Regions from separate parts of the Mus musculus genome. Here regions 1, 2, 3, 4 and 5 are each reported to be linked to region 6. Evidence: microRNA targets listed by miRTarBase, many of them from high-throughput screens and not tested one by one. Region 6 holds a microRNA gene; each other region holds the end of a gene's coding sequence.
What was found. Region 6 holds the annotated microRNA mmu-miR-3473a (UGGAGAGAUGGCUCAGCA, at 2,286-2,303, shown strand). A microRNA usually pairs through its seed, bases 2 to 8, with sites in the 3' UTR of a target mRNA and lowers its output. Matches are read on the target gene's strand: a 7mer-m8 pairs with bases 2 to 8, a 7mer-A1 pairs with bases 2 to 7 and ends in A, and an 8mer does both.

Region 1: the mRNA of St8sia1 is a reported target of mmu-miR-3473a. Seed matches in the 3' UTR shown: 7mer-A1 at 2,634-2,640 and 7mer-A1 at 2,020-2,026.
Region 2: the mRNA of Rnf150 is a reported target of mmu-miR-3473a. Seed matches in the 3' UTR shown: 8mer at 2,426-2,433 and 8mer at 518-525.
Region 3: miRTarBase lists Nhlrc1 as a target of mmu-miR-3473a. Seed matches in the 3' UTR shown: 7mer-m8 at 1,387-1,393, 7mer-m8 at 1,401-1,407 and 7mer-m8 at 1,409-1,415.
Region 4: the mRNA of Dusp7 is a reported target of mmu-miR-3473a. Seed matches in the 3' UTR shown: 7mer-A1 at 937-943 and 7mer-m8 at 2,277-2,283.
Region 5: the mRNA of Zdbf2 is a reported target of mmu-miR-3473a. Seed matches in the 3' UTR shown: 7mer-m8 at 3,455-3,461, 7mer-m8 at 3,787-3,793, 7mer-m8 at 4,587-4,593 and 7mer-m8 at 4,843-4,849.

Annotation. Positions count from the first base shown.
Region 1 is chr6:142,824,017-142,829,090 of GRCm38, forward strand. St8sia1 (ST8 alpha-N-acetyl-neuraminide alpha-2,8-sialyltransferase 1) reads right to left here. Exons shown (of 5, transcript NM_011374.2): 5 at 1-5,074. The coding sequence ends at 4,768. It overlaps Gm7457 (predicted gene 7457), which reads left to right. Exons shown (of 7, transcript NR_045707.1): 5 at 1,272-1,337. Among named protein-coding and RNA genes, the nearest start is that of Gm7457, 12 kb to the left of the region's middle.
Region 2 is chr8:83,082,807-83,087,872 of GRCm38, reverse strand. Rnf150 (ring finger protein 150) reads right to left here. Exons shown (of 7, transcript NM_177378.4): 7 at 1-4,437. The coding sequence ends at 4,319. Among named protein-coding and RNA genes, the nearest start is that of Tbc1d9, 80 kb to the left of the region's middle.
Region 3 is chr13:47,009,163-47,014,236 of GRCm38, reverse strand. Nhlrc1 (NHL repeat containing 1) reads left to right here. Exons shown (of 1, transcript NM_175340.4): 1 at 1-1,680. The coding sequence ends at 663. It also overlaps the pseudogene Gm5790. Among named protein-coding and RNA genes, the nearest start is that of Nhlrc1, 3.2 kb to the left of the region's middle.
Region 4 is chr9:106,373,208-106,378,281 of GRCm38, forward strand. Dusp7 (dual specificity phosphatase 7) reads left to right here. Exons shown (of 3, transcript NM_153459.4): 3 at 432-2,517. The coding sequence ends at 739. Among named protein-coding and RNA genes, the nearest start is that of Dusp7, 7.1 kb to the left of the region's middle.
Region 5 is chr1:63,308,998-63,314,071 of GRCm38, forward strand. It overlaps Zdbf2 (zinc finger, DBF-type containing 2), which reads left to right. Exons shown (of 7, transcript NM_028673.1): 7 at 1-5,074. The coding sequence ends at 948. Among named protein-coding and RNA genes, the nearest start is that of Gm23448, 11 kb to the left of the region's middle.
Region 6 is chrX:162,872,149-162,877,222 of GRCm38, reverse strand. Mir3473a (microRNA 3473a) reads left to right here and starts at 2,228; the gene lies at 2,228-2,305. Syap1 (synapse associated protein 1) reads left to right here. Exons shown (of 9, transcript NM_025932.2): 5 at 4,569-4,708.

The sequences.
Region 1 (5,074 bases), not on the chromosome of region 6:
TATTCGTGTGTGTGTGTGTGTGTGTGTGTGTGTGTGTGTGTGTGTGATGTACAGATATAAGACTCTCCCACTTACACAACAGGAGTTGTATAGGGCTGAGACTAAATCTTGTGGCCTCACATTTAGGAGTTTATAGACATATTCTGGACTTCGGAATTCCAGACTTTCAAAGACACAGCACAGGAACTGTGAGGTATTTGTTATCTCCATAGATTCAGGGACTCTGGAAGTCCACCCATATAGACAGAGAAAAGAACTCTGCGTATGATCGTATGCAGGGTCACACCTGGGCCACAGTGACCAGACTCTGCCACAAGATTAGCAAGTGCAATCCTAGGCAAAAAAAAAATCAAAGCAAAATATGTTTGGTGATTCAAAATTTTAAATTATTGGCAAATTTTCATGCTGAGGCTCCTGTCGTTGCAAGGCTACTAGCTCAGCCCCCAGTGGAAGACAACAACTGTGATAGGGCAGAGATAAGTGGCAGTGGGGGCTTCTAGCTCAGCCCTCAGTGGAAGCCAGCTCCTCTGTTGGACAAGAGGGTCATCAAGAACAAAGGTATAGACCCCTCTGTCCCCGTGGATGCTGAGAGCTTGGGAACTATGGTCACCTCCCTTGTCACCTTGCCTCTTCCTCTCCTGAGCATACAACAGAATCAAGTTTCCAAAACTTCTAAGAGGATTTACTGCTGACCCGATTAGCCACATCAACCTGGGCTGCAGGTGTCAAACATTGTTAATTTGCTTCCACCCCTGATGTGGGCTGCCTGGAGCTCACATTTCTGACTACTCTGGGCAGGAAAAAACACACAACAGCATCCTCAGTCTTTGTTACTGCAGACTTGCCCTTGAGAGTTCAGACAAAGCTTTACAGCCCTTGATCTCTGGGCTTTTTGATGAGAAGTAATCTTACCTGGTTCTGGCGGGGAAGCGTCTATACCACAACACTGTATTTCATAAGGTAAAAACCATTGGGGAAGCATCTATACCACAGCACTGTATTTTATAAGGTAAAAACCATTCAGTGGACTCGTGACTGATTTTCTCATTAGATCTTTCCTGACAATGATTTGCCAGTGGAAGAGTCTATGAACTTGGTATTTTCAAACATGAAAAAAATAAAACTATAGATGTCTGGCTTCCCAGCGAAGAAGCACAAAGGACACTACCTGAACATCTGCCATTTTAGAGAATTAACTCTCTACCTTTATTAAGATTTATTTATTTATTCATTCATTTATTTATTATGTGTATGTTCTTGCTTGCATTCAGTGTCCATGGAGACCAGAGGAGGACACCAGCTGTCCTGGACCTGGAGTAACAGTTAGCTGTGTGTGGGTAAGTGTGCATCAGAACCTGAACTCAGGACCCTGCAAGGGCATTCAGGCCTCAAGGGTGAGAGTCTCCCGTGCCCCCTCCTTTTTCAAAGTCATAAACGTGAACAATCTGGTTTAGGCACACAATTTTTTAAAAATATACTTTGGCAAAGCACTAAGAGTCATCTTCTGAGAAAAGCTCTCTCATGTAAAAGCTTTCCTTCTGCTGGGATGACTCGCTCTTCACCTAGCTTAATTTTTACTGAAGTGTGATTAAAATCAAGCAGCAGCCGCCCTCACTTGGGAGCTTGAGAATCAACAAATTCTTAAGTCGCGGTTGACTCAAAAAGAGAATTCCTGTTTGAGTATTCATTAGCAGTCTCTGCATTCTCTCTCCTTCCTCCATGAAGCAATTTTATTTTCCACATGCATGTGCACACACACATACACACACTTAAAGCACTGATCTAATTGGTGGTAGAGTGGGGTGTCATCTCTTGCCAGACACAATGAAATTAATTAATGTTCCTATTAAACATTTCTATCATAACCCAAATCCCTTCTGAGCTGAAAGTTAAAGGTCAAATACATTAAATAGTGGACTAGGCCCAAAGCTGAAGGCCTAAATCTCAATAAGCAGGATTGAATAATACCCAATCTCTTAAGAGTAAGGTGCTACTCTAGAATGTTCTAAAGGATGATTCTGGAGAGGCTTCTACTTAGGAACACATATTTTACTAAAAATAATGCTAAACAGATGCACACAGCTATACACACATAGACACATACATGCACATAGACACACACACACACACACACACACACACACACACACACACACACACACACTTGTTTAGCTACATCATTTAACCAGACTCACATAAAGTTACATACGACATACCAGTGAATTGTCACTATAAAATAACGAAAGGCCACAGAGATCCTGTTCATGACATCAGCGTTATACCTGTGGCCTAAAGGACAGAGCACAGGAGCAGTCAAGCTTTCCTTTTGGTCTAGCCTGGGGTTCCTCAGCCTTCACACAACTAACACTTTACTGAGTCATTCTCTGTGGCAAGGGGCTGACCTGTGGTTACTGGACCAGCATTCATGGTCACTCCCTACTACAAGTGTGAGCACTCTTGGTCATAACAATTGAAAGTGTCCTCGGGGTCCTGATGGCACCTGAGGGAAGGGCAGTCTGCTCGGGTAAAAAGGACAGACAGTGTTGGCCAGATCTGTTCTGACATTCAAATCCCATAGAGAGTGGCTTTAAAACTGCACAGACTAAACACACGGACCTGTTCTAGGAACCAGATGGAGAGCTAAAGCTCCCAGACAGTTCTCTCAGTGCACAGTGGTCTGTTATGAGCTTCTTGCTTAGATTTTGACCAATTAATGTATTCATCTGAACACATCTTTAATGAAATCTTTGTATGTGATGTTTTCTTAGCCCTTTTACACTTCTGATGAAGTCTACTGATGAACATGTCTTCTTCCTTAGATAATGGTTAAATACCAGTAGCTCAAAACGAGATTGTAGTCAGGGTTGCGCAGATACGAATAACACAGCTCATGCTGCCTTCTAGATATCCTGATGCTGTCACACAAACGGAAACACTAAGCCAGCTCTGCACAGCAGCGAGCGGACCATCAGGCCGCCCAGTTTCCTCAGTTCAAATGCTATCCATAGAGTAGCCTGAATATTGGATCACTTTTGGAAATCCCCCACCCCAAGGGTACATCTCAGGGGCTTGCTTGTCTTGTAAGTTAACCTTCCTTTTAAAGCCCCCTGCTTTTCATAGACATGGTCGATACACCGAGTTTCTACCTCCAAGATGAGGCAGAACTTGTGAGTCGTTTTCACCTCTATCATGACGACAGTTGAAAAAATAAAATGGGTTCGTACATCTCCTCAGAGCTTAGCACATCTCACAGCACAAAGGTCATAAGAGAACCCCCTTCTCACCCCCTTACCTACAGTAAGCACACTGGGCCAGAATCTGCCAGGAAAGCTCCCGAGCTATGTCAAAGCTGATGTACCAAGCTGCTTAAACGGCCCCACCCACTCGGCATTAAGGACTTAAACGGCTGGTGGTTCCTACCTGCTTCCTTGAAAGAGCCACATCACATGTCACTAGGCTCAACACAGGGCCCATTCATGAAATTTTGGGGTGCAGGGAGGCACTATGAGTAAGAGAGGGGTTCACATTCTGATTTATGTATTTGAGGGTCAGCCTTGCACCCTGTGCTGACAGGCAAGCTGACAGCAACTGCCATGCCAGCCTGACTGTGTCAACATGGAATGGAGCCCACACTACATGTGGCTCTCCAATACTGGTTACAGACTCTAGGCCATGCACACTCAGTACTGATGGTTTCATGAGAATAATCTTTGATTACTTTGTAGAAAGTGTAGAGAGTGTCAAAGTGTATGTGTCTATATTCATGTGTGTATACATATATATGTACATATATATGTATACAAGATAATCCATGCATGTATACATATGCGTATACACGCATGAGTTATCGTGGAAGGAAATATTCATGTTAGAGAGGAAAAGGCCCTGCCTTTGTCTATCTTAAAGATGAAGCTCTCACTCTCTGTGAGCTACGTCACCTCTCATTAAATGATGAGGGCGCTTCTGCTACTTTATAAGTAAACAGTGTACTTGCAGGTCTAGTGATTCTATGAAAATAACAGAGCCAATGGGTTGATGTAATGGGGACCTAAAATTTAGTTTCCCTCTCAACTTCTGATGTGAAGAAATGGCTCGTGTGATCTAGACAATAGATCAACACAGTCTAAACTCAACAGAGCTTCATGCTAAGTAGACTTAACCAAAAGGAGGTAAGAAGTGATTCTTATTTAAAACCGTACTAGTGGAGGGGACTATAGTCATCAAAGACTTGTTTTAACAAATCACAATAATCAGCAGGAAGGGTTTTGTAAGTCTATACCATTACCCACCCATAGCCCTGAACAGGGCAAAAATCAACAATAATTTTTTTTAAACCTATAGTTCTAATGCCAGTCTCAATAAGACGGATCTTTAAAATGATTATGATGCCAGTGTATATTGACAGTCAGCAATATCCCAGCATCTCCCACAGGCTGCCATGATGGGCCCCTCGGCCTCAGCAACAAGAGTTCATCTGGTCCTCGAATCACATCTTCTTGATTTGAATCACAGACATGTGCTCTGCCATCATCGTCTCCTTGGGGTTGTCCCGCTTGCAAATCCACAACACTATAAAAACATTCCCCGGGACACTTTATTTCTTGTTGTTCTCCAAGCCAACATCAAAAGCAGTTTTGCTTAGGTTTTGTTTGTTTCCTATCATGCCAATCCATGACACACTTTGGCAGTTCTTTTTAGAAGTCACATTAAAAAAAAAAAAACCTAGCAAAAATATCCCCCATCCCGTCCTTTCTTCTTCTGCAGTCCCTAGGAAGTGGGCTGTGGTGACGGCTCCTCACACGGGTCCAGCTGCATCCTCAGCGCGCCGATTTTGTGAAGATACCAAAGCTGAAGGAATTCCTCAGGCATGGCATGGTAGCCTGAGAAGGGCAAGACGTTGTCATAGTAGTGGTGACTGATAGGGTCCCCTTGCATGTTCACCGAGAAGGGCCAGAAGCCATAGATGGACACCTCCTCACAGAGGCCCAAGGCTGCACTCACCAAAAAGAGTCCTGTAGACAAGCGCTTGGCGTGGATCCCCCTACTCTTCCAGAACTTTCCAATGTTCCGAAGA
Region 2 (5,066 bases), not on the chromosome of region 6:
AGTAACTACCTGGGGACTCACAACCATCTGTATCTGGGATCTGATGCCCTCTTCTGGCTTGCAGGTGTACATGCAGATAGAGCAACTCATACATTTAATTTTTTTTTTTTTCTTCTACAGGACATCATCTCCCTGGCCTCAGTACCTCAGCACTGCAGAGACTGGACCTTCTCTTTGTAGATTGCATGATGATCTTTCCTAAAATTTTTGAAAGTTTTTATTTGGTAATTTTCATGGTGTTCAGCCAAGGATATGCATTCAGTGGACAACTAAATGCCATTAAATGCTTATGCAATCTACTTCAGCACCAACTAAGCTTACACCAAGAATCTTAGGCAGACTGATGTTCTCTTTTGGTTCTGGAAGTGTTGTAGTCCCAGGAATGTCTGGGCTGTAAAGAAAATGGCCACTGGGCACAGCCATTCTTAACAGGCTAGACCCTTGAATACCCACAGATGAAAATGTTAAAGCAACAACAACAACAACAACAACAACAACAACAACAACAACAAATCTCTGGAGAGAGACTTGCTTCCATGGCCAGGATGTCACACACAATGTTGAAATAGCTAGGTGCCTCTGGTACTCCTCCCCACCTCTGCCCCTGCCTCCACCCAGTATTTGTCTCTGTAGCTGTCCCAGAACTTGCTTCATAGACCGGGCTGACCTCAAACTCACTGAGATCCACCTGCCTGAGTGCTGGGTTCAAAGGTGTGAGCCACCACTGCCTGATTGCCTCTGATACCTTATCATCTCCTGTCTCCATACTATATCCATCCCTTGGGTGTGTGACCAGAACTGACCTTGAAGGCCCTGCCAGACCCAAGGCTGTTCTTAGGAGGCAGCAGCCCTTTAGAAGGATTAACCACGCAGGAGGAAGCCATTCTGAAAGTGACTCTGAGGGAGTTCAGGGCTCTTTTCCTCTCTCAACCTTGGACAAAGCTGAAGAGAAAGCTGCTCGCCATTCACCACATAGAGGCTGGATGGCCACAAGCTCAGAGATCCTTTCTCGGCAATGCCACACAGACCGGGTATGTGGCTCGGCCTGCGGTTTCCTGCGCCTTTCCTGTCTCTGAGTTCTACTGCTTTAGAACGGGGCAGCCACAGGGATGAAGAACTATGGGTTGAGGTAAATTCTCTTTGGCTAAGTGTCACATTAAGAGTCTTGGGATTAGTCATAGAAGTGAGGGGTGTAAGTCTCTCACATGAGTCTCAGGGTTTGTCATAAAAGTGAGGGTGTAATTTTATTTCAGCACCAAATCAGCATGGTTGGTTGTCTTGTTGTTTTTTAACAAACAGCTCGTCAGAGAAGCAACAGTTGCTGAGGACAGTGGACACTGTGTTTAGAAAGTTGATAAAGGCTATTTGAACCGCTATTACTTATGGAATAAGAACATCCCTGGCTGTCTCCTTAGGTAACTTGGCTAAAGTCTGTTTTTCTTTTGGGGAAAACCTGAGGTAATCTTATCCTTTTTCTCCTGTCACAGTCAGGAGAGCACTTGTAAGGATTCTGGAACATTTCTTGGGCTGTGCTGCCCGGCTGGTGGCCACTAGGCACATGTGGCTACGGAAAGCTTGAACTGTGGCTAGTAATAATGATGATGTGCTGGGCGTGTAAAAGACAGCAGATTTAGAATAGGTAACAAAGAATAGAGGAAAATGTTTTCCTGACACCCTACATCATTTGCACATCAAAACAATAATAATATTAGATTAAACTGCTATTAAATAATTTCCACCTGTTTCCTTTTTGCTTCTTAAAATGTGGCTATCGGGAGTTAGAAAAAAAAATGCATGTGACTTGGGCTGTATTTCTGTTGGACAGAGTTGGTGCACCACTTGCTCCAGAAAAATGCATGCCTGTAAATGCATAGTCAGTGGGCACTCCTGGGCTGCATAGCCACGTGTGGCTCACTGGGTCCTCAGGTCAGGGCCTCCTCATCACGGAAGGCAGCAGCAATGTCTATAGTAAGAGCTTTGCCAGTTATCTCAAGAGGAAAAACTTTCTTTTAATCTTTCTTTTGCCATGAAGGTCACAGGGAAGCCCTTCAAAACTCTTTGGTAAGCAGAGACTGTCAAAGGCTCAGGGAGTTTGCCACAGGGTCTCCTTGGAGTCAGATCAACAGGCTAAGGGTGGGCCTCTTGGGCTCCTTAGCATCCTGTAGGGTATTAGGTCAAGGACTTGCTTATATAATCAGCGTTTACCTGGCCACTGGCCAGAAAACACCTACCAGATCTTTTTCTGTCTGGTCATGCAATGTAATTTTGTATTTCTCTTGTTGTTGAATTACCCCAATGTCATTAGACTAAATATTAAAATTTCCTTTGTGACTCAGTTGTTTTCACAACACAGATCCCCCCTGGAGAAGTGCAGATGTGTCACCTGAGACAGAGGGGACAGTGAGACTCATCTTCGAAACTTCATTGGAGAGAGTCTGGTTTAGCACTCACCTGCTTCCTCGCTACGAAGCATCTCAGGCCTTGGAGGCGGGCATTAATTATGGGATGTGCTAGACCTTTGACAGAGGTGATTTTTCTGAAGCTTGTTATCATTTTCCTTGCCTTGCTCTCTACCATCGAATAGGAATGCATTAAAAGTAGAAAGAAAGGAAGGAAGGAAGGAAGGGAGGGAGGGAGGGAGGGAGGGAGGGAGGGAGGGAGGAAGGAAGGAAGGAAGGAAGGAAAAGGAGCAGTGGAGAATTCCATCGCCCTGGACTCAAAATTCCAGTGGGCAGCATGGATTTACAGCTCACGAATGTTTGAAAGATATTAGTGTAATGAGGTGGAAAAGCTCAAATCAAATACATAAATACAGCTCAGTGGGAAGAGCTTGCTTTCCTGATAATCCCTGCTCTGTATGACCTTGCCAACTGCTAGGGAGGAGGAGGAGGAGGAGGAGGAGGAGGAAGAGATCCTTCTGATTGTCCAGAGGGACACAGGTGGCCACCTATGTCTCTGGAATTGCTGCATGTATCACAATACTGTCTACTCAAAAGACAGCACACTTTTGTTATTGTTTCAGACAAAAAGAGAATAAAATCGTAAACCACTTTATAGTACGGTGGGTTTTGATAGTCATTTGTTATTTTCCTTGTAATCTTATTTGATTCTAACTCTCAGAGGAGACTCAATTTAGCAATTTCCCATGATGCACATTTTGATTCAGACTTTATCAGATCATACCTCGTTCTCCTCTTGATACCCAAATGCTCTCAGAAGACCCGAGAAACTGTTAAGGACTTATTTAGATCTTTCCATGTAGGCTGGTGAGGGTTAACAGGAGAGTTCCTGAAATAAGCTTACACCTGGATGCCAGTGACCTAAAAACTGATTTCATCTTTTCTATACCTCGTACCCGTGGAATTCATTTATGAAGGTGATAAACTGCTAAGGCTTTGGAGGAAATCAGGGAGTCAGGCATCTTCCTGGGAAGACAGGGTATCAGGTTTTGTTTTGTTTGTTTGTTTTTTAAACTAGGCTTATAGTTCCACATACTCTGAACTTTGTCATGGTGTCCTTTGGGGAATTCTGAGTTTTAGACTAAGGCCCTCCAGTCAGAGGACCTGCATTCCTCCCTGACAGTTCTCTCCTGCTAAGATGGCCCCTGACAGAGCGTGGCAAGTGGAAGCCTATGTAGTGGAGTGGAAAATAGCCAGCAAGCAGCTCAGCAGATCCAGAACTTAGTGTGGCTGTCTGGCAGCTGGGCTCGCCAAGGCCCACCTATTGGAGGGGTTTAGACACTTGGTAAAATCTGCCTTTCCACTGTTTCAGGGTGCCGAGGCAATCCTCAAAGTCATACACACGTCATATTGATAACTCGCGACTATGAATCTCAAGACGTGGTATAAACCAATCACAGGGCCAGCAACCAGAACTTCTAAGCAGACCTCTGTACATGGGCTGGAGTGGATCAAAGGGAAAACGGAGGGAATCAATCGATGTAAACTACACATCAACTTTAAAAAGAAGTCGCCAAGGGAATGAAACCATTTTTCCCAAACAAGAGCAAGAAGATGGGAGAGGCTGAAGTCAAGTGAAGAAACTGTGGAGTTCTCCTTCCAGTCTGCTGCACGTCTACACAGACACCAAGAAATTCAGCTTTCAACTTCCACATCAAGGCCACAGGCTGTTGTTGCAGAGATGGGAACCCGCATCCTGACTCGGGAGACTTTGGATATTGCTTTCGTTACCACCCTTGAACAGAGTGCCCTGGGGTTGCCATGGTGATCTGAAGGTCGTGTATCCAGTTCAGTCCTTGGAGCATGCTTCCCTCCTGTCCCCCTGGTTCCTATGTCTTCTCTTGTCCATTTCTACCATCTCAAGATTTCACCTCCTCGCAGTCTTGGTCAGTGGAAAGTTCTACATCAGACAGGCCCACTTCCAGTGCCATAATTAATGAGATGTCAGAGTCACTGCTCAGTGCTGGCTCTTGACCACCTGAAGGGGGACAAAGCAAAGTTTATGGTCAACGTCAAGCTATGTCTTTGGATGCTTCCGTTTTGGAATTATTGTTCCTAGTAGTGTTTCTCTTTTTAAGATCTAGGTTTTGTTTTGTTTTTTTTTAATTAAGCATATAATATTGATTGTCACATGAGTTTGCATATGTGTATGTGCACACAAGTGCAGGTGCCTGGTGGGGGGGCATTGGCTCCCCTGGAGTGATAAGTGGTTGTGAGCTGCCCAGTTCAGATGCTGGGAACTGAACTTCTGGCCTCTGGAAGAGCAGTATGCAGTTTAAAACACTCTCCATCCCATCTACTAGCACTTCTTTTTTAAAAAAGTGCTACCCTTCCCAGCATCCAGAGATCATTATTCTACTCCACTCTTCCATTAGAGTTATAAACTTTTCACCTAATAATTTTATTTCCAGAAGTCTTACAAAAAATTGGCTGTTCTGTAAAAACTCTAATTCAAATCTCACCTCAAAATAGAGCCCCAGATAAATTCTAAGTGGGTCAGAAATTTAAATGTGAGCCATTGTGGTAGGAAACTAATAGAGGCTGGCTATGGTGGTGAACGCTTGTAAAGTCAGCACCGCGGAGGTGGAGGCGGGAAGACTGAGTCTG
Region 3 (5,074 bases), not on the chromosome of region 6:
GTCGCCGTCACCAACGACTGCCATGTGGTTGTCACCGACGCTGGCGACTGCTCCCTCAAAGTGTTTGATTTCTTTGGCCAGATCAAGCTGGTTGTGGGAAAGCAGTTTTCCCTGCCTTGGGGTGTGGAGATCACCCCTCACAATGGGGTCCTGGTGACTGATGCAGAGGCAGGGACTTTGCACCTGCTGGAAGCGGATTTCCCTGAAGGGGTCCTTCGGAGGATTGAGAGGTTGCAAGCTCACCTATGCAGTCCCCGTGGGTTGGCAGTGTCATGGCTCACGGGGGCCATCGCGGTCCTAGAGCATCCTTGTGCCTTTGGGAGGACTGGCTGTAACAACACAAGGGTGAAGGTGTTCAACTCCACTATGCAGCTGATTGGCCAGGTGGATAGCTTCGGGCTGAACCTCCTCTTCCCCTCCAAAGTAACTGCCTCTGCTGTGACCTTCGATCACCAAGGAAACGTGATTGTTGCTGACACCTCTGGTCCAGCCATCGTCTGCTTGGGGAAACCCGAAGAATTCCCAGCCCTGAAGCCTATAATCACTCACGGCCTCTCCCGTCCTGTGGCACTGGCCTTCACCAAGGAGAATTCTCTTCTTGTGCTGGATACTGCATCCCATTCTATAAAAGTCTTTAAAGTGATGGAGGGCAACGGAGGGTGATGGGGATCCTGAAGCCAGGAGTCAGAAATCTTGGTGTCATTGGGAGTGAATTGGTCTCACCCATCCATCCAGACAGAAGTAATGGTAACTGAATGGCAAAAGCAGTTACTAAGGCAGTTTTAAAAGACTAATAATTAAATTTGTCATTCGGTGAATGCCTGTTCCCGTGTTAAGAAATTTGCAGATCTTAGCCTGTTTGCTTCTTAACACACAGCGATGTTAATTCCTATTATCCGTCCACTTGGGAGATGAGAAGACAGACCCAGAGCATTCAGTATGGTTTCTTTAGAGTTGTATTCACTGGGACAGTTGAATTCAGTTCTGGCTCCAAACCACTTGCTCTTAGATATGATGTTAGATGTCGTCAACAACAACAAAAACTGTGAGCTGTGTCTTATGTATGTATGTTCTCCTTACAAGTGGGTAACTGGTAAAGTGCACAAAGACAAGAAAGGGGTCTTCATGGGGATTTTAGGAGAAAAGGGAAGTTGTCCATCACCTTCAGCTGTGAGCTCCCCCAAAGGTAGAGTAGATAGCTTATTACCAGTTCCAAGATTTGAACAAGAAACAAAGTTGAGCTCTTTCCTTATAAGGCAAAGGCTGCCAGGATGATAGTGTGTGCCAGAACTCCAAATCCTGAGAAGTGGAGGCAGGAAGTTCAATGCAATCTGCAGCTTAGCTACCTAGTAATTTTGAGGCTAAGCTGGACTAGTGTGTTCTCTCTCTCTCCCTCTCTTTCTCTCCCTCTCTCCCCCTCTTTCTTCTTCCTCTATGGGCACTGGGAACTATCCCGCAGTGATAATTTGAGAAAAATCTGCAGAGCCACTGCCTGCTAGCGTCATGGGCATATGAGACTCGTGTTAATTAGATCTTGCCCCAGCACATTGATGGCAGAAGTGATTTTGTTTGGTGTGGTAAATCTCTGACGCCTGAAGCACTTTGTGATGGAGGCTTTTCTCTGTGTAATTTGAAATGTGATTCAAACACTGTACTTAATAAACAGTCTTCGTCCTTTTAGAGTGCTGGAAACGTGTCTTGAATGGAAGCACAGCCTTGACAATGTAAGGGCTCCTCAGTGCTGTAATTGAGGGGAGGAGTGGAGAATATTTGGGGTGAAATGCTGATCCTCTCTATTTTTTTTTAAGCAAGCACAAAAATCTTTGAGTTCAGGGATGTTGGAATTATACCAAATAACTTACACCTCTGGGGCAGCATGAAAATGTTTTCTGGGGATGCTTTTGAGAGGTGAGAGTTTGCTTTAGATAAGAACTAATGTTGTGTCAACAAAATGATATCCTTTTATACAAAGAGGCTGTTTGGGGACAAGGTCTTGTACATCTTGGACCGACCTTGAACATGCTCTGAAGCTAAGCCTGACCTTCACTTCTGATCCTCCTGCATCCATCTCCCAAGTGCAGAATTAAAGTCAAGTACCACAACACCAAGGGTTCTGTGGTGCTGGAGGTAGGTAGAACCCAGGGCGTCATACATGCTAAGTAAGTGTTCTACCAACTGAGTTACAGCTAGCTCTACAAAGATTTATTTTATTTTTTATTTATTTATTTATTTATAGACAGGGTTTCTCTGTGTAGCCCTGGCTGTCCTGGACTCACTTGTAGACCAGGCTGCCCTTGAAAATTCAAGAGATCCGCCTGCCTTCTGCCTCTCCTGCCTCCTCTGCCTCCTGCTTCCTCTGCCTTCTGCCTCTGTAGCACTGAGATTGAAGGCACACACCACACTCAGCCCCTATGGTTTTAATAGAGACACTCACTGAAGTATGACTGAAAGTGTCTTCCAAAGGATACGAATGCTGACATCAGGAGCCCAAGGTGAAGGCCTAGCTGCCATGCCATCCCATTAAAGCCTGTGTTTCTTTTTAAATTATTACATACATTTATTATTTATTGTATGTATGTTCACACATGTGCCTGTGTGCATGTACACATGCCATCATGTGTCGAGGTCAGAGGACAGCTTGAGTGACACGCCTGTTCTCGTCTGCTACCATCTGGGTCTAGGGTACTTAACTCACATCATCAGGCTCTGTGGCAAGCATCTTCACTCCCGAAACATCTCCTCCCCTGCCCACACTGTTGCTTTAACTGATTCCATCCCAGAACATCAATAGTAACATTTTGGGCACTGCTCAACACCACTGGTCCTCTAACAGGAAGCCCAGTGGTTGAATTCTTCTCCCTCATCCCGATGCCCTCGGCTGGGCATTGTAGCACACACCTAAATCCTAGCACTATGAGACCAACCTACATAGTTAGAGCCTGCCTCAAAAAAAAAAAAAAAAAGTCAGATAAATTATCACCATAGACCAGTAACTTTACAGCTATTTTAAATATGTAACAGCAAAACTTAGATAGCAACTGTGGATTGATCTTACAGTGTTTTATTTCAGAACCATTACATTTGGATAATGTTAGTGTCTGTTGACCCAATTCAAAGATTTGAGGGGGGCAGGGCCTGCACGCTTGCGCGAAGGACTGGGCAGCGGTTGCCGCGCCCCTCCCCCGCGCGGCACTCAGTGCCAGGCGGGAGGCGGCAGCGGATGGATGGAGGCTTCTCGGGGCTTTGCAGCAGGGACTTCGGTGGCGCCTCAGGCACCCGGGCTCTGACACGATGCGGCGAGTGGTGCGGCAGAGCAAGTTCCGGCATGTCTTTGGACAGGCGGTGAAGAATGATCAGTGCTATGATGACATCCGCGTCTCCCGAGTCACCTGGGACAGTTCCTTTTGCGCCATCAACCCCAGATTCGTGGCCATCATCATAGAAGCAAGTAGGGGAGGGGCCTTCCTGATGCTCCCTCTGCACAAGACGGGACAAATTGACAAATCCTACCCTACAGTGTGTGGCCACACAGGACCAGTGCTGGACATAGACTGGTGTCCACATAACGATCAGGTTATCGCCAGCGGCTCAGAGGCCTGCATTGTTATGGTTTGGCAGATCCCAGAAAATGGACTGACCCTTTCCCTGACTGAGCCTGTGGTGATTCTAGAAGGCCACTCAAAAAGAGTTGGCATCGTGGCCTGGCACCCGACGGCCCACATTGTGCTTCTCAGTGCAGGCTGTGATAATGTCATTATCATCTGGAACGTGGGGACAGGGGAAGCCCTCATCAACTTGGATGATATGCATTCAGACATGATTTACAACGAGAGCTGGAGCTGTAACGGTAGTCTCATCTGCACAGCATCCAAAGACAAGAAAATGAGAGTCATTGACCCCAGGAAACAGGAGATGGCGGTGGAGAAGGAGAAAGCACACGAAGGAGCCAGGCCTATGCGTGCCATCTTCCTGGCGGACGGCAACGTATTCACTACTGGCTTTAGCCGCATGAGCGAGCGGCAGTTGACGCTCTGGAACCCAAAAAAACATGCAGAAACCAATGCTCTCCATGAAATGGACACTAGCAATGGAGTGCTGCTCTCCTTCTACGACCCAGACACCAGCATCATCTACTTATGTGGGAAGGGTGACAGCAGTGTCCGCGGATGAATTCCCATATGTCCACTACCTCCACACATTCAGCGGCAAGGAGCCTCAGTGAGGGATGGGCTACATGCCCAAGCGGGGCCTTGACGTCAACAAGTGTGAGATTGCCAGATTCTTCAAGCTTCATGAGAGATAGTACGAGCCCATTATCATGACGGTCCCCAGGAAGTCTGACCTCTTCCAAGACGACCTGTACCCTGACACAGCGGGGCCGGAAGTTGCCCTTGAGGCCGAGGAGTGGTTTGAGGGGGAAGAATGCAGACAGACCCCATCCTCATATCGTTGAAGCACGGGTACATTCCAGGCAAGAACGGGGATTTCAAGGTGGTCAAGAAGAACATTCTGGACGGCAAGCTGGCTGCAAACAAGAAGAGCAATCTCAACTGTGCCCCCAAGAAGCCCACAGACATGGCCAGTGTGCAAAACGAAGCCAAGGTGGATGAGATTCTGAAAGAGATCAAATCCATAAAGGAAACAACCTGCAGTCAAGACGAGTGCATTTCCAAGTTGGAGCAGCAGCTGGCGAAGATGGCTGCCCGAGGCTCGCCCACCTCCACGGAAGGTGGCTGCTCCTCCTGGGCGCACTCCCAGCCAGGGAGGGCAGAGAGGGAGACACTGCCATTTGGAGACATTCCATGTCAGATCTGTCAGGCAGTGATAGGTCACATTCCAGTAAGAACTCTCCCAGACCTGAAAGCTGAGCTTTTCCTCAGGGAGCTTTGATGTTTGGCAGGTCTGCTGACTTGCTGAGCTTTCCTACATTTGAAATGCCAGATATTCTGAATTTTAGAGACCAAGCCCCTCCCCCGCCCCTCCCCGACTCCCGATTCCCCACCCACCCACCCAGCGTCCTACTCACACACCTGATGACCGGGCCAGGGCCACCTCTGCTCTATGTCTCATCCTT
Region 4 (5,074 bases), not on the chromosome of region 6:
TTGTGGCCATGTGGGACGAGAAGTGATCCCAGGGGTGACAGTAATTTGGGCTTGGTGAACCCCCTTGCCTCAGGTCCCTACAAAAGCACTGACAAATACCTGGGCAGTAGTCAGGGACACCTTTCACTCCAGCAGTCCAGCAGGCAGAGGCAGGCAGATCTCTTGAGTTTGAGGCCAGCCTGGTCTACAGAGTGAGTTCTGAGATAGCCATAGCTACACAGAGAGACCCTGTCTCTTAAATTGAGCTGTGTAACAGAGGATGCTGAGACCCCACTGGTGGCCAGGGTGATCAGCATGGTATTATTGTCCTCTCACACCCTATCCATGCTGGGCTTTATCAGGCCCTTAAAGCACCTTCCTGTGCCTCTGCCCTTCTGTCCTAGGGGTTCCTTGGAGATGGCTCTACTCTGACCCGTGTCCCTGTGTTTCAGATGAAGCCCGCTCCAAGAAGTGTGGTGTCTTGGTGCACTGCCTAGCAGGCATCAGCCGTTCAGTGACAGTTACTGTAGCCTACCTGATGCAGAAGATGAACCTGTCCCTCAACGACGCCTATGACTTCGTCAAGAGGAAAAAGTCTAACATCTCGCCCAACTTCAACTTCATGGGGCAGCTGCTGGACTTTGAGCGGACGCTGGGGCTCAGCAGCCCATGCGACAACCACGCACCCAGTGAGCAGCTCTACTTCTCCACGCCCACCAACCATAACCTGTTCCCGATCAACACGCTCGAGTCCACGTGAGGCCTGGGGCACTGATGGGCGCAGCACCAGGGTCTCCCAGCCCTCCACGGGGCCTGGTGGGGGCCCTAGCCTGCTGCCCCTCTGGCCTGAAGAACCCACAGATGTCACCTGTGTCCAGAGAACCAGGCTGAGCAGTGGCTGAGCTCCCATGCCATCCTGTGCAGGGTCCTGTGGCAGCACTTGCCAGATGGCCTCAGCTCTCCAGACATGTTGCTAAGCGAGCGTTGGCCTCAGCTTTCAGACTTGCGGCTTGGGGGCTGGTGGGGCCTTGCCTCTGCCCCAGGACATCCATTCGGCTGATAGCCCAGCCATTCTGGCTATTTTTAAAGACATATCCACAGACCTGAGGTTGCTACTTTTGGCAGGTAAATCCGAGCTCGCTGGAGCAGAGTTCAAGCTCTTCTTGGTTTGTTTTTTTCTTTTCTTGTCTTTTCTTTTCTTTTCTTTTCTTTTCTTTTCTTTCTTTCTCTTTTTTTTTTTAACAAAGTGTTATTTTTCAGGCTAAATGCAACAATGGATTGTATAAACCAATATTTCACCCCCTTTCCTAAGACAGAGAGAGAGAGAGAGTGTTCTCAGTTTCTTGTTTCAAAAAGCAAACCATCGATGTATTTTGTTTTCAATGGAAAAGACAAACCCCATGTTCTTGACCAAATGCATTTTGCACGTGTGTGAAGTCTGATTTCCCAGCAGGCCATTCTGGAAGGGTGGGTTGTCACTCTCTGGGCATCAGGACCCTGGTTCTACCATTTCCTACCTGTGACCCAGCCCACCTCAGTGCCGCCTTGGCACAGTCCCGTCGCTAGGAGCTGCGCCTGGTGGGCACTGGTGGTCTTTGTGTTGTCTGCCCTCCTACCAACCTTCTGAGAGTCCTGCAGACCTCCCTGCCAGGTCCTACTGGAGGTGGTGCTGCAGGGGAGTGGCAAGCAGTAGCATTAGCCATCTGGGCTCCGCCCCTGAGAGGGCTGCGCCCTGGCCCTTTCATAAACTGCCCACCACTTCTGTCCTCATCTCTGTCTCTGAACTGGGAATAGAGGCCCACAGTGCCTGTGTAAAGCCTTCCCAGTCCCTTAGCTTTGCTGTAGACTCCAACGAGGTTCACCCCCAGCCCCCTTGTCCAGGTGCACACCTGCCCTGGCCCATGTTGCCCGTGCCTTTAACCTGCAGGCAACCTACACCTATTGCGGCCCAAGAGCTGGGGCAGGTGGGGCAAGGACTGGCTAGTGGGGGGTAAGAGGCCCCCATCCCAGGATCCATAGCACAAAGCCACGGGCTCCATAATACTCCTCCGGTTTCATCGCTTCTCAGCCTTGCTTCTCCCTAGGCACCATGAGGAACAGGAAGTGCTGGGGTCCTGATGGGACGCACACCCGCAGGGGGCAGTGACTGAGGCCACATCTTACCTCACAGGGCTGGTTTTCAGGGATTCTTTAGGGAAGCAGTTTAAAATCTTGCCACAGTTGAGAAATTGGCAAAAAAAAAAACCAAAAACAAAAAACAAAACTTCCATTCTGTACATGGCATGTTTCTCTCTCTCTCTCTCCCTCCCTCCCTTACCCCCCCCCTTCTCATTTTTTAAAAGAAAACCCAGAAACATGGATCAGAGTGTAAATGAGGGTATACCAGAGGGTGGCCAGTTTTGCTTTAAGATCTTATGAAGGAAAGTTTGTGACCCTACATACATACATATATATATAGACACACACACACACATATATATCCCGAGCCAGCAACGGGACGTTGTTTATATTGCAAATAAATATTATTTTTTCTTTAAATGGAGTCCTGGTGTTCAATAAGGGCCTGGGAAGACGAGGCAGGGGCAGTGTTGTCTGTTTCTGAGAGAGTGGGCTGCCTCTTTCCTAGCGTCGGCCAGGAGCTGCTCAGATATAGGAGGTGGCAGCAAGGGCTCCTGGATGAAAGTGAATCCACGCTGGGGCAGAGACGCACACCTCTAGTGCTAGCACACAGGCAGAGGCAGGTCTCTGCAGTTGAGGCCAGCCTGCTCTACAGATCGGGTTCCAGCACAGCCAGGGCTACCCAGAAAAACCCTGTTTTGAAAAATACAAAGTAGAGCCAAGCTCACTGAGACATTGACCTCCTCTTGGGTTTGGCATGGTGAGCAAGCACCTGTTTTTTCTGCTGCATGCTGAGGGCAGGTGGAAGCAGTGTCTTTGGGCCTCCAGTGGGGCTCCCACTCTTTTTTTTTTTTTTTTTTTTTTTTTTTTTTCCATTTTTTATTAGGTATTTCGCTCATTTACATTTGCAATGCTATACCAAAAGTCCCCCATAGCCACCCACCCCCTCTCCCCTACCCACCCACTCCCCTTTTATGGCCCTGGCGTTCCCCTGTACTGGGGCATATAAAGTTTGCGTGTCCAATGGGCCTCTCTTTCCAGTGATGGCCGACTAGGCCATCTTTTGATGCATATGCAGCTAGAGTCAAGAGCTCCGGGGTACTGGTTAGTTCATAATGTTGTTCCACCTATAGGGTTGCAGATCCCTTTAGCTTCTTTGGTACTTTCTCTAGCTCCTTCATTGGGGGCCATGTGATCCATCCAATAGCCGACTGTGAGCATCCACTTCTATGTTTGCTAGGCCCAGGCATACTCTGACAAGAGACGGGGCTCCCACTCTTAACAGGCTAGAGCTGCCAGCAAAAAAGTGGCTCTGGGGGCTGGAGAGATGGCTCAGTGGGTGGGAACACTGACTGCTCTTCCTAGAGGTCCTGAGTTCAAATCCCAGCACCCACATGGTGGCTTACAACCATCTGTAGTGGGATCTAATGCCCTTTTCTGGTGTCTGAAGATAGCTACAGTGTGCTCACATATATAAAATATAAATATTAAATTTTTTTTTTTTTTTGGTTTTTCAAGACAGGGTTTCTCTGTAGCCCTGGCTGTCCTGGAACTCACTTTGTAGACAAGGCTGTCCTCGAACTCAGAAATCTGCCTGCCTCTGCCTCCCAAATGCTGGGATTAAAGGCGTGCACCACCACGCCCAGCAAAAAAAATTTTTTTTTTAAAAAAGTGGATCCAGAGAGGAGGGACCACAGCAGGGAACAGCCCCCCTGTTGGACTGCTTCAGAAAGCTTCATCTCCTTTGCCTGCATCAGGTGGACTCAGGTGCAAGGTGGGTAAGCAGGCCCAACCTCTTCCAGGCCTTGGGCCTCTGTCCTCCTGCCTCTTCTCTGACGCTGTCTCGTTGGTGCCCCTCTGTCACAGAGCACCAGAACAGTCACCACCCTCACAGCTTGGCTTATGACAGAGAGACCAGGCTCTGCCACCCGCCAGCGGCTCAATGCTGGGACTGGCAAGCCTGAATTCAGTGCTCAGGACTCCCGAGTAAAGGACCTCCCGTCCCTGCAGGCCAGGGGCCAGGGAAGTGGGGTTCTCGCAATGCTGGCAAAGAGACGGTTGCTACTTTTACTGTCAGGGTTCCTCAGGGCCCTGGTCCTTCTGTGCCAGGGGCAGGCAGGGGTGGGTGTCTGAGAAGGCAGAGACTGCCCCTTTGTTCCCCTCAGTGCCCTTGCCTGAGGCTAGGGAAGCCCGCGGGCGCCTGGCTGGGGGCTGGGCCCTTAACAGGCAGAGTAAGTGCCTGGCAGTGCCAGTGCGCCCAAGGACATTATGGGGGTGGGAACAGCAGTGACTTCCTGAGCAGACTCCTCAAGCTGAGGACTGAGGGCTTGAGAGTGCATGAAGAGGGCCAACCCCACCCTTGCCAACCATGAAATCTTAAGCCCAGTGGTCTGTCTCGGACCCACAGTACCCTTGTTCTTTGGAAATTCTGCCCTCACGTGCTGCTTGCTAAGGCTGGGGGGCAGTGGTCCCGATTATGGCTGAAACCATCCCTGGTCAGAAACCTTCGGCCAGGCCATGCAGCTCTAGCTCCTAGACTTCATCCTTGTAGACTCTCACGTTGTCTTTCTACCCCGGCACAGCTAAGTCCCATCAATGGGTTCTGAACATTTCAAACCCAACCTCAGCTGGGCCCCCAGACACCAGTCCCCCTGAACTTTGGGTGAACACTTACACTTGGGCCATTCTACCTTGTCACTCAGTTTCCTGACCCTCTCTTAGCCCTGCAAGGTCCCCATTTCTGCCTTTTCAGACTCTTCTCCAGGAACCCAAAGAGTTCCACTTCTTTGTCGCTTTTTAGCGTTCTCAGGGGAGAAGGATCTAAGCCACTTACTCACAGGCACATTCATGCGCCAGCCATTTCCTGTGCTGGCTGGGCAGTCCCAGGAATGGGAACATGCCCCAGGGAAAGTTCTGTGATGTCAGCCTGGGTGGTAGGATAATGGGGCCCTCAACTTGTCTTCTGATAAATGAATCA
Region 5 (5,074 bases), not on the chromosome of region 6:
CTGAAAGCGACCGACATCATCAGGAAGTATGTCTCTAGATGCCATGGTCTTATGCCCCGGAGGCATCTATCAAAGACTGTTCTTATAAGAATGCAACTGAGGAAGAAGAAAATAGTTGCCAGGAAGATAAAGGAAGCCAAGAGAGCAGCTGAAGCACTAGCGCTCAAGCTCTCGCGCCCCTCGTGTCCCCCGCGGGCCCCGTGCCCCCCGCGGGCCCTGTGCCCCCCTCGCGCCCCGTGCCCCCCGCGGGCCCTGTGCCCCCCTCGCGCCCCGTGCCCCCCGCGGGCCCTGTGCACCCCTCGCGCCCCGTGCCCCCCGCGGGCCCTGTGCACCCCTCGCGCTCCGTGCCCCCCGCGGGCCCTGTGCACCCCTCGCGCCCCGTGCCCCCCGCGGGCCCTGCGCGCCCCCTGCCCCCCACGGGCTCTGTGCTCCCCGCGCGCCCCGTGCCCCCCGCGGGCCCTGTGCCCCCCTCGTGCCCCGTGCCCCCCGCGAGCCCCGCGGGCCCCGTGCCCTCCGCGGGCCCCGTGCCCTCCGCGGGCCCCGTGCCTCCCGCGGGCTCCGTGCCCCCCGCGCGCTCCGTGCCCCCCGCGCGCCCCGTGCCTCCCACGCGCCCCGTGCCTCCCGCAGGCTCCGTGCCCCCCGCGGGCCCTGTGCCTCCCGCGGGTTTCGTGCCCCCCGCTCCCCCTGTGCGCCCCGTGCCCCCCGTGCGCCCCGGTTCTCCCAGCTGGTGCTGAAGAGCAGTTGAGCACTACTGCAGGACCTGCAGAGCTGCCTGCTCATCTTTCCAATGCTGGAGGAATAAAGCGCTACAGGAAAACTTACTTCCGGAGAAGGAAGAGACTTCTTCCAGTGAGAGAATATGACCTGAGAAGCTTGAGTTCCACAACAAATACCGACAGGATGGTGACACGGCTTGCAAGCAAGTCGAAAAGCAATGAGGCAAAATAAAAGTGCGCGTCGCGTCGTAGCGGATGGAGACCTCAGTCCTTCACTTGGATGGAACACATTTGAGACTTGAATGCACATACTTTTCCCAGCTTTGGTGGGGAAACTGACCTTACACTATTTTGCTACAGATATTATTTTTCGGAGATTTTATATTCATTTAAAATTAGTGTTTAGGGTCCTTTTTTTTTCTTTTAAAGATTTAAAAGCAACCTTTGTCCCATTTATGTAGAAGAGCTTCATCTTAATTTGTCTCATAATTTAGCATACTATATAGAATTCTGTTCCTTAAATCATGTCCTCTGAAAATCTTTCGTGCCAAAAAGTTATAACACTGGGAGAATGAACATAGCAAGCTTATTAATTTCATCTTTTAAACAATTGGGACCGATATCTATTTACTTAGTTACCACACTTCCAAGTTGAATAGCCAGTAGGTATTCTAACTGGATAAATAAAAAGAGCGACATTGTGCTATCTCGGTTTTCAAGTATCTCAGTTTTGTGATCAAACGATCACAAAAATATATAACTTCTTTTTCTTTTAAAGTCATTCCATAAAATATTTAATCCAGTTTTTTTAAGCACCTGGTGAAAGACAAATTCTTTTTCATTTAAATTGGATCTGCAGTTCTGTAGCTTTTCTCATTTGCACACATACCCACAGATCTTTTTGTTAACATTATTAAGTCTTACGTGGAAAAGATTTTGCAAATGTGAATAAGCTTTGAAGGTACCTTTTCTCCCTTTATTAGTAATCTAAAATGAAAATCCAGGTAATTTTATCATCTTATTTACTAATATTTTGGATAACATTTTTAAAATGATGAGCTTAAGCTGTTGGTTTGATAATGGCATGTGGACTGGCCATTAATTGTCATTAGTGAAAAACTTGACATTTCAGAAAAATTAAGTTAAACTAGTAACCTAACTAGAGACCTACTTTTCAAGTGAAAAACAGTTTATACATCAGTTTATCTTAAACTATCTAATTATATTAAACTAGCTAGATAGTTAAAGGTTAAGCCAATTTGACATTTTGTCTTAAACTACCTAATTGAGTTTAACAGTTGAGATAAAGAGCTTGGATACACAGTGTGAACCTCTGTGGTACTTGAGTCTATTCCTTTGAGGGTCATTGACTGAGCTGGTGCAGATGCATCCCCTTTTCTTGTTCAGTCAAGACCTGGATCTTTTTCTGTCATTGATGTTATGAGGAAACACGAAGTTTCCCTTTACTGTGTAACTACTATATTTTATTGAAACTAGAGTCAGTGTTAAGATGTGTCTTGATTTCAGAGATAAAACTGTGTTACCTTAGAATTAATGAAATATCAACGTGGTTTTGTTCCAGGGGCCATTATTTAACCTGTGAGTCGTTAATGGTGATACTATAGTCATCTCTTTACTTCTAAATATAAGTGGTAATTATATTGCAGAGTGGACAAATGTGCTTTTTTAGTCGGCAAGTAACGTGTTTAATTTTTTCAACCTTGCCTCTTTATCTTACAAACATTTTAATTTCTTTAAAACATTCTTAATGGGCTGCTAGTTTTTTTTTAAATCCTCAAAATTTAATTAAGGAAGAAAACTCTTTCACTGATTATGAAGTAAACATGAAAAAGTATTCTTTGTAGGTATTAATGTCTTTTGCAGCTCCCAGACACCATTAATAAACACTCTTGTAATGGAGGTTAAAAGTGAGAGTTCATACCTAAATAACCTACCATGTAATTATGCCAGATTATATCTATTGTGATTATGTCCCGCAATGAATATTCAAATAATCAAAATTTAAAGTTAAAAAATTCATAATTTGGAAACTTGTCTAAGGACCTTTTAAAGGGAAAGCAAGGAAAAAATTAAAATGTAAAATTAACATCACCAAAAATATAAAAATGTCTGGTACAGAAATTATGGCTTTGTTTAGCATTTTGCAAATATTTACTAACTTCTTGTAAGGATTATTATTTTAGACAAGATTGGAAACTTACTTAAAATGGTAAAACTTAAGTTAAAAGTGAATTATTTTAGAATTTGATAGGATATAAGATGTGCCCCTTTGTCTACATAAATGTTGATTTAATTTTCAGGCTAGGTTGAAACAATTGGTTATTTTGTGTAGTCAAGAGTGCATTATATTCTTTCAATAGTAATACATCAAATTACAACCATATCATTTCATTAATCTTGTCCCTTTTAGTATCTTGAATAGATTTTTATTGTGATTGTCCTGGTGAAACAGTGTGTGGACAATATTGTGTAAAGAGTGGTTTTTTTGCATTTGTGCATTTTAAATTATTTATGTAACTAGGGCTCTGAGTAACACGTTTTGTTTTGTTTTGTTTTGTTTTGCTTAAAGAAAAGCTATATTTAAATATTCAAATAATTATATATTTCCATGTAAAACTAATGTGAAGACCGATGTATTTTTTATAATGCAATTTAAAGTGTAAACTTGTTTTGATGTTATCAAGATAAATTTATTAAATATTGAAATTTGTGTGTACTCTCTCCTAATGTTAGAACCTTTTTCTGGAAATACTTAAAAAGAATCAGAGAGTAATTAAGGCTGAAGTAATTCTGTAAAAGGCCTGAGAGATGATAAATAAGAGAATGCAAATGTTGATGCTGGCGAGAAAATTGTTTAACCAAAGATACATAGGTTGTACTCACATAAGTAATTATTTCAAAAGATTAAACAACCACTAATTTGCCTGGAGGAGTGATGGGGCAGCTGTTTGACTAGCACGCCTGCACTGAAAGGATTGAGTTCAGGAGGCAGGATCCATACCACCATCTGACGCCCTCTGGGAAATGACCAACCCCAAAGCCTTCCATCTCTCTCCGTGTCTTCTGGTGCCATAGCATCTGACAGTGATGACAGGATGGCATGGACAGGTGCCTGAGAGAATAGTGACATAAGTGCTTCTGACCCTAGAATTACTGACTTGGAACATTTGTTGGTCAGGGATTTTCGAGTGAGAATTATCTTCCTATTTACAATGAGAAGTTACTACTTTTTAGTAAAGGACTTTTATGTTTAGAAACATGGAATTATAGAATTATACACCAAAATGCCAACTCAAGTAAATTCAAAGTGAGGAGACATAGCTTTTTTTCATCTCTTACTCAGATGAACTCAAATATTGAGGGAAAAATTAGTTAAAACATTTCCCTTTCTTCTTATACTTCATGTGTGTAAAGTTCTAAGTGTTTTAAGCCATGGGCTTAATTTTTCAAAATTATTTGCTTTAAATAAAGATTGAATTCAGGATAAAGTATAGTTTGTTGCTGGATCTTTATATTATTTCTAGGTTTATTTATTTTAATGACTTTTAAACCTGGAAATCAGTTTATTTCCCAGATTTATTATTCCCAAATTTAGTATATGTACATATTGAGGTGATCTTGAGTACAGCACAGTGTCCCAAACTTTAACTGTATCATGTCCCTTGATCTTTGTATTTGGGAGCCTTGTTGGATACTATAACGATCACTGTGAAGTGAGAACATTGAGGCATAGAGTAGTTAACCCCCTTCCTACCCGTAGCAATGGGCCATCTTCTAGTCTCTATCCCCTTAGAGTCATCTTCTCTGTTTACTTCATATAAGCAGTACCTTTATGTTTCTCTCTCTCTCTCTCTCCTTTGTTTCATTTATCATGATTAGGTGTTTTGTTGTTGGTTAGTTGGTTTTGAGAGTCTCCTAGTTATAGCATGCTGAGCATTTTGGGTTTTAAAATTACTTTTTAGCAGTTAGTTTTAAATCTACTTAATTTTTTTTATATATTTATGCCTCTGAGAGTTGAATCCAGGGCCTTGTGCATGTGAATCAAGTGCTCTGCTGCAATGTACCTCCAGCTCTCAGTCTTGAATGACACCACTACCAGAACCTTTCTCTCCTGCCAACAGACGGGAAAGCCAGCAGGTGCGAGGCTAGCTTTGTTCCCTGCATGGTTCTTATTATCTGATTCCTCCTCAGATCCAAGACTGGACAGCAGAGTTGCCTTTTAGAGTGTTCCTGTGGTTCACTTGAGTGTTGTATGCTCTCGTGGCCTTTGACTCCTCTTTACCTACCCATCATGCCACTCTTCCCTGTGCTCAGTTCTCATTTTCACCATCAACACA
Region 6 (5,074 bases):
TTACCTACATATGTTTGTTGGCAGTTGACATTGATAAAGACAGAATTCCATTTACTGGCCCACAAAACTTTATCTCATGACTTGAAGAAATATAGCCAAAGCAGCCAGTAATAATGTTGCAGATGATAATAGCTAGTGCTTTTACCCCTCTGGAACACTGAGGGGGCTGAGACTATGATGTTAACCCTTACTTCTCCATGCTGTCTCAGAGAACAAAGGCCAACTTGATCAAAGCTCAGAGCATGGCATATGACTTCATGAATCCATATTTGCTTTGTTTTAATCTATATGTGTATTATACGCCTGCATATATGTCTATGTGCCATATGTGTGCCTGATGTACTTGTAGGCCAAAAAAGGTGTAGGATCCCTGGAATGGAAGTTGCAGGTGATTACAAGCCTCTCTATGGGTGCTGGGAATCAAACCCAGATCCTCTGGAAGAGCAGCCAGTGTTTTTAACTGCTGAGGCAAATGTCCACAACTTCCGTTATTTATTTATTTATTTATTTATTTTGGATTTTTCGAGACAGGGTTCCTCTCTGTAGCCCTGGCTGTCCTGGAACTCACTCTGTAGACCAGGCTGGCCTTGAACTCAGAAGAAATCCACCTGCCTCTGCCTCCCGAGTGCTGGGATTAAAGGCGTGCGCCACCACCGCCCCGCAAACATTCTCCTTTAACCTATCCTCCATCCCTTTTGGGCCTGAGGGAATGAACTCAGGATTGCCTTGTGGATTGTATAGCTTATGCATGCGCTCTGTTATCTCTGAACTGTACCAGCAGCACTCTCGTCTCTATTTTTTTTTCTAGTAAAAATTTGTGAGTCGGGCTGGCGAGATGGCTCAGCAGGTAAGAGCTCTGACTGCTCTTCCAGAGGTCCTGAGTTCAAATCCCAGCAACCACATGGTGGCTCACAACCACCCATAATAAGATCTGACTCCCTCTTCTAGAGAGTCTGAAGACAGCTACATTGTACTTACATATAATAAATAAGTAAAAAAAAATTTGTGAGTCTTCCTTGACTTCTGCCTCCTCCACAGGAAAGCCTGGGCAATGGTCATTGAAATAACTGTACTCATGGAGTCAAAACTCCAGTTCTAGGAATTTCTTCTAAAGATATTATTTTATAAGCCAGCAAGATGTTTCAGTGGGTTAAGAAAATTCTTGACTTAGCCAGGAGAGAAACCCTGTCTCGAAAAAACAAAAACAACAACAAAAACAAAACAAACAAAAAAAACAAAGAAAATTCTTGACTCATACCTGAGTACAATCCTTTGAACCCTCATAAAATGGAGTAAGAACCAAATCCCCTATGTTGTCCTCTCACTTCTACATACAAACTGTGGCACAGGGGTGTGTGCCTCTACCTCCCCCCAACACACACAATAATGATAATAAATATATATTTTTTTAATTTAAAGTTCACTTTACAAAGGAATACAGACTCTCCTTTTTTAAAAAAAATAAGGTCTTATTCTGGAACTCAATGTGTAGCCCAGTCTGGTCTCAAATTCTAAGCAGTCCTCCAGTGTTAGCCTCCCAAGTGACAGATGTATGCCACTATACCCTGCTTTCAGAATTCTTTCAAAAAGTTAGAAACTACTAAAATGACTCTGGAAACAGGTCTGGTTTAGTAAGTTATGGTAAGTTAGTGCTCATTTAATATAGCCATTAGAGCTGGAAAGTTGTTCATGACCTTGAGTGAGAAAAGAAAGTCGGCTTTCATGCTTGTCATCCCAGCAGTCAGGAGGAGCAAGAGTTTAGGGTTATCCTCCAATAGAGGATGTAAGGCTAGTCTTTGCTATAGGAGACTGTTTTTAAAACAAAAACTTAGGACTGGAGAGTTGGTCAGTGGTTCAGAACACTGGGTTCTCTTTCAGAGGATTCAGATTTGATTCCCAACACCCACATGGCTGCTTACAACAATTCATAAGTTCTAGTCTCAGGCTCTGACACCCTGTTCTGACCTCTGTAGTTACTAGCCACACATGTTGTGCACAGGCATAGATGTTGGCAAAACACCCATACACATAAAAACCTACAAAAAAGAAAGAAAATATTTTTTTAAAAAGATTTATTTATTTTTTTATTATATGTAATAAGTACACTGTAGCTGTCTTCAGACACACCAGAAGAGGGAGTCAGATCTCGTTACAGATGGTTGTGAGCCACCATGTGGTTGCCGGGATTTGAACTCAGGACCTTCAGAAGAGCAGTCGGGTGCTCTTACCTGTTGAGCCATCTCACCAGCCCAGAAAATATTTTTAAAAAGTGAATTGTCTTAAGCTGGAGAGATGGCTCAGCAGTTAAGAGCACTGACTGCTCTTCCAGAGGTCCTGAGTTCAATTCTCAGCAACCACATGGTGGCTCACAGCCATCTGTAGTGGGATCCGATGTACTCTTCTACTGTGTGTCTGAAGACAGCTATAGTGTACTCAGATAAAAAAAAGAAATAACTTTTTTTTTAAAGTGAATTGCCTTATGTATCAAACAAGATATTTTTTAAAAAGTGGTAGCTATCACAATGTATGGACTGCCTGCCTTCCTACGTATGGCAAATCTTACCTGCTGGATTCTCTAAAGGCATAGAACTAACAGAATAGGGCTGAAGAGATGGCTCAGTGGTTAAGAACACTGACTGCTCTTCCGGAGGTCCTGAGTTCAAATCCCAGCAACCACATGGCTGGCTTACAACCAGTGTACTCCAATACGTTAAATAAATAAACCTTTAAAAAAACTGACAGAGCTGGGCGTGGTAGCGCACGCCTTTAGTCCCAGCACTTGGGAGGCAGAGGCAGGCAGATTTCTTCTGAGTTCGAGGCCAGCCTGGTCTACAAAGTGAGTTCCAGGACAGCCAGGGCTACACAGAGAAACCCTGTCTCAAAAACACCAAGGAAAAAAAAACTGACAGAGTAAATATGCATATTGAAAGTAGATGTATTAGCCTGGTTCAGATAGTTCAACAACTGTCTGAGTGTAAAGCTTGAAAATCTAGTAGTTATTTACTCCACAAGGCTGGATGTCTCTGCAATCCCTGTCTGGTGCTACAGTCCCAGAAGATTCCTGGATAGCTGCTAGTCTCAGTCTACATGGGAATCCTAAAGCAGTTTTATTTAATACCAGCTGCAGCAACAGAATAGATGAATTTGCCGTAGAGAGTAAGGACAAACAGGCAAAAAGAAGGTTTTTCTTGTGTCTTTATATGTGGGCTGCCAGTTTTAGGGTGGGTCTTTCTGCTTCAAATAGTCTGATTCATAAAATTGCTCACCGAAGTGCCTGCCAGCTTGGGTGTTAGTTGATTCCAGATGTTGTCATGTTGACAACCAAGATTTTTCATCACTAGCAGGGACACCACATATATTAGACATAGGGACCCAAGGGAGTGTTACATTGAACCATAAATTATCTGTAACTAGTAGGATTCTGTGTTGTATTGTGTTGTTTTACTTTGTTGAGGCTGGCCTTGAGCTCATTCTATAGTAGAGGCTGCTGGCCCTAAATTTCTAATCCTCCTTCCAGGTACAGAGATTACAGACATCAATACTATACCCAGATCTTCAATTCCATGCTTTTCTGAATGTTTTGCAGAGGTTCATGTTGCTGGTGATGGCTTTCTTTTTTTTGTTGCTTTGTTTCTGGTATTTATTTATTTATTTTCATTTTTGGTTTTTCGAGACAGGGTTTCTCTGTGTAGCCCTGGCTGTCCTGGAACTCACTCTGTAGACCAGGCTGGCCTCAAACTCAGAAATCCGTCTGCCTCTGCCTCCCAAGTGCTGGGATTAAAGGCGTGCGCCACCACTGCCTGGCCTGGTTTTTAATTTTTATTTTCCGTGTAGGGATGTTTTGCCTGCATGTCTGGATGCAATGCCTGAGGAAGCTGGAAGAAGTTGTCGGATCACCTAGAACTGCAGTTACAGACATTGGGAATTGCCCTGGGGGTGATTTTAGTGGGACCTGGGTCCTCCAGAAGAGCATCCAGTGCTCCTTAACCATTGAGCGATCACTTCAGCCCATATCCTCGCTTTCATTCCAAAGACCCTAGGGATTAAATTCAGATCATCAGGCATGGTGACAAACACCTTTACCCACTGAGTGATCTCACCAGCTTAGGTTTTGTCTTTTTGAGACAGTCTCATGTAACCCAGGCTGACTTCCAAACCTCTGTACAGACGATGCTGACTTTGAAGTCCTAATCCCCCTGGCCTCTACTGCCCAAGTGGTGGGACTACAGGCATGTTCCACACTGTGTTTTGGCCTTGAGTTAGAATGTTTCTAAACCTAAAGGTGTTTATATGATTATTACATGTTTATATGATTTTTAACTATGTTGTTTCAATCAACTGAGTGAACTGTCTGGCTTCCTGGGAGCCTCTGTCCAGGTGAGTGTTAGAAAAAAACATGAAAGGATGGATTGTTCTCCTATCTCATTTAAGTGGGCCAGTCAGTGACAGCTCAGTGGACTTTGTGACTGAAGACTGTTAAAATTCAGTATATCGATCCATGATACTTTGTCATAAAATGCAATTAAGACACCCCCTTTAATGGTTTTTGCCTCCATTTCTCATCACAGGACAAGAGGAATTTCCTCCGTGACCCACCAGCTGGTGTGCAGTTTAACTTTGACTTTGATCAGATGTACCCTGTTGCCCTGGTCATGCTCCAAGAGGATGAGCTACTAAGCAAGATGAGATTTGCCCTTGTTCCTAAACTGTAAGCACCATGTTTTCTAAAGAAACACTGCTCACTCCTGCAGTGGTAATTTCTATTTCACAGTAGTATAGTGATTTCACTTTCCTAAGGGCTCTAGTTATATGCATAATGTTAGGGAAGAGTCACTGAATGAAGGCCAGAACCCTCCCTACACTATCTGTTCATCCAAACAGGCCCTGCAGCCCTTCAGAGGCCCTGTGAGCTTGACTGCGTGCCCAGAATGGAAGGAGAGGGCAGACTTGGCAGGAAAGTCAGGTTGATATGTGCTCTTTTGCCCAGTTAAACAGTAGAACATGTTTCCATCAGAAACAACAAATAGACCCAAATCAAATCGGGTTTGTAAAGGCTTGCCTTTTCCCTGAACTC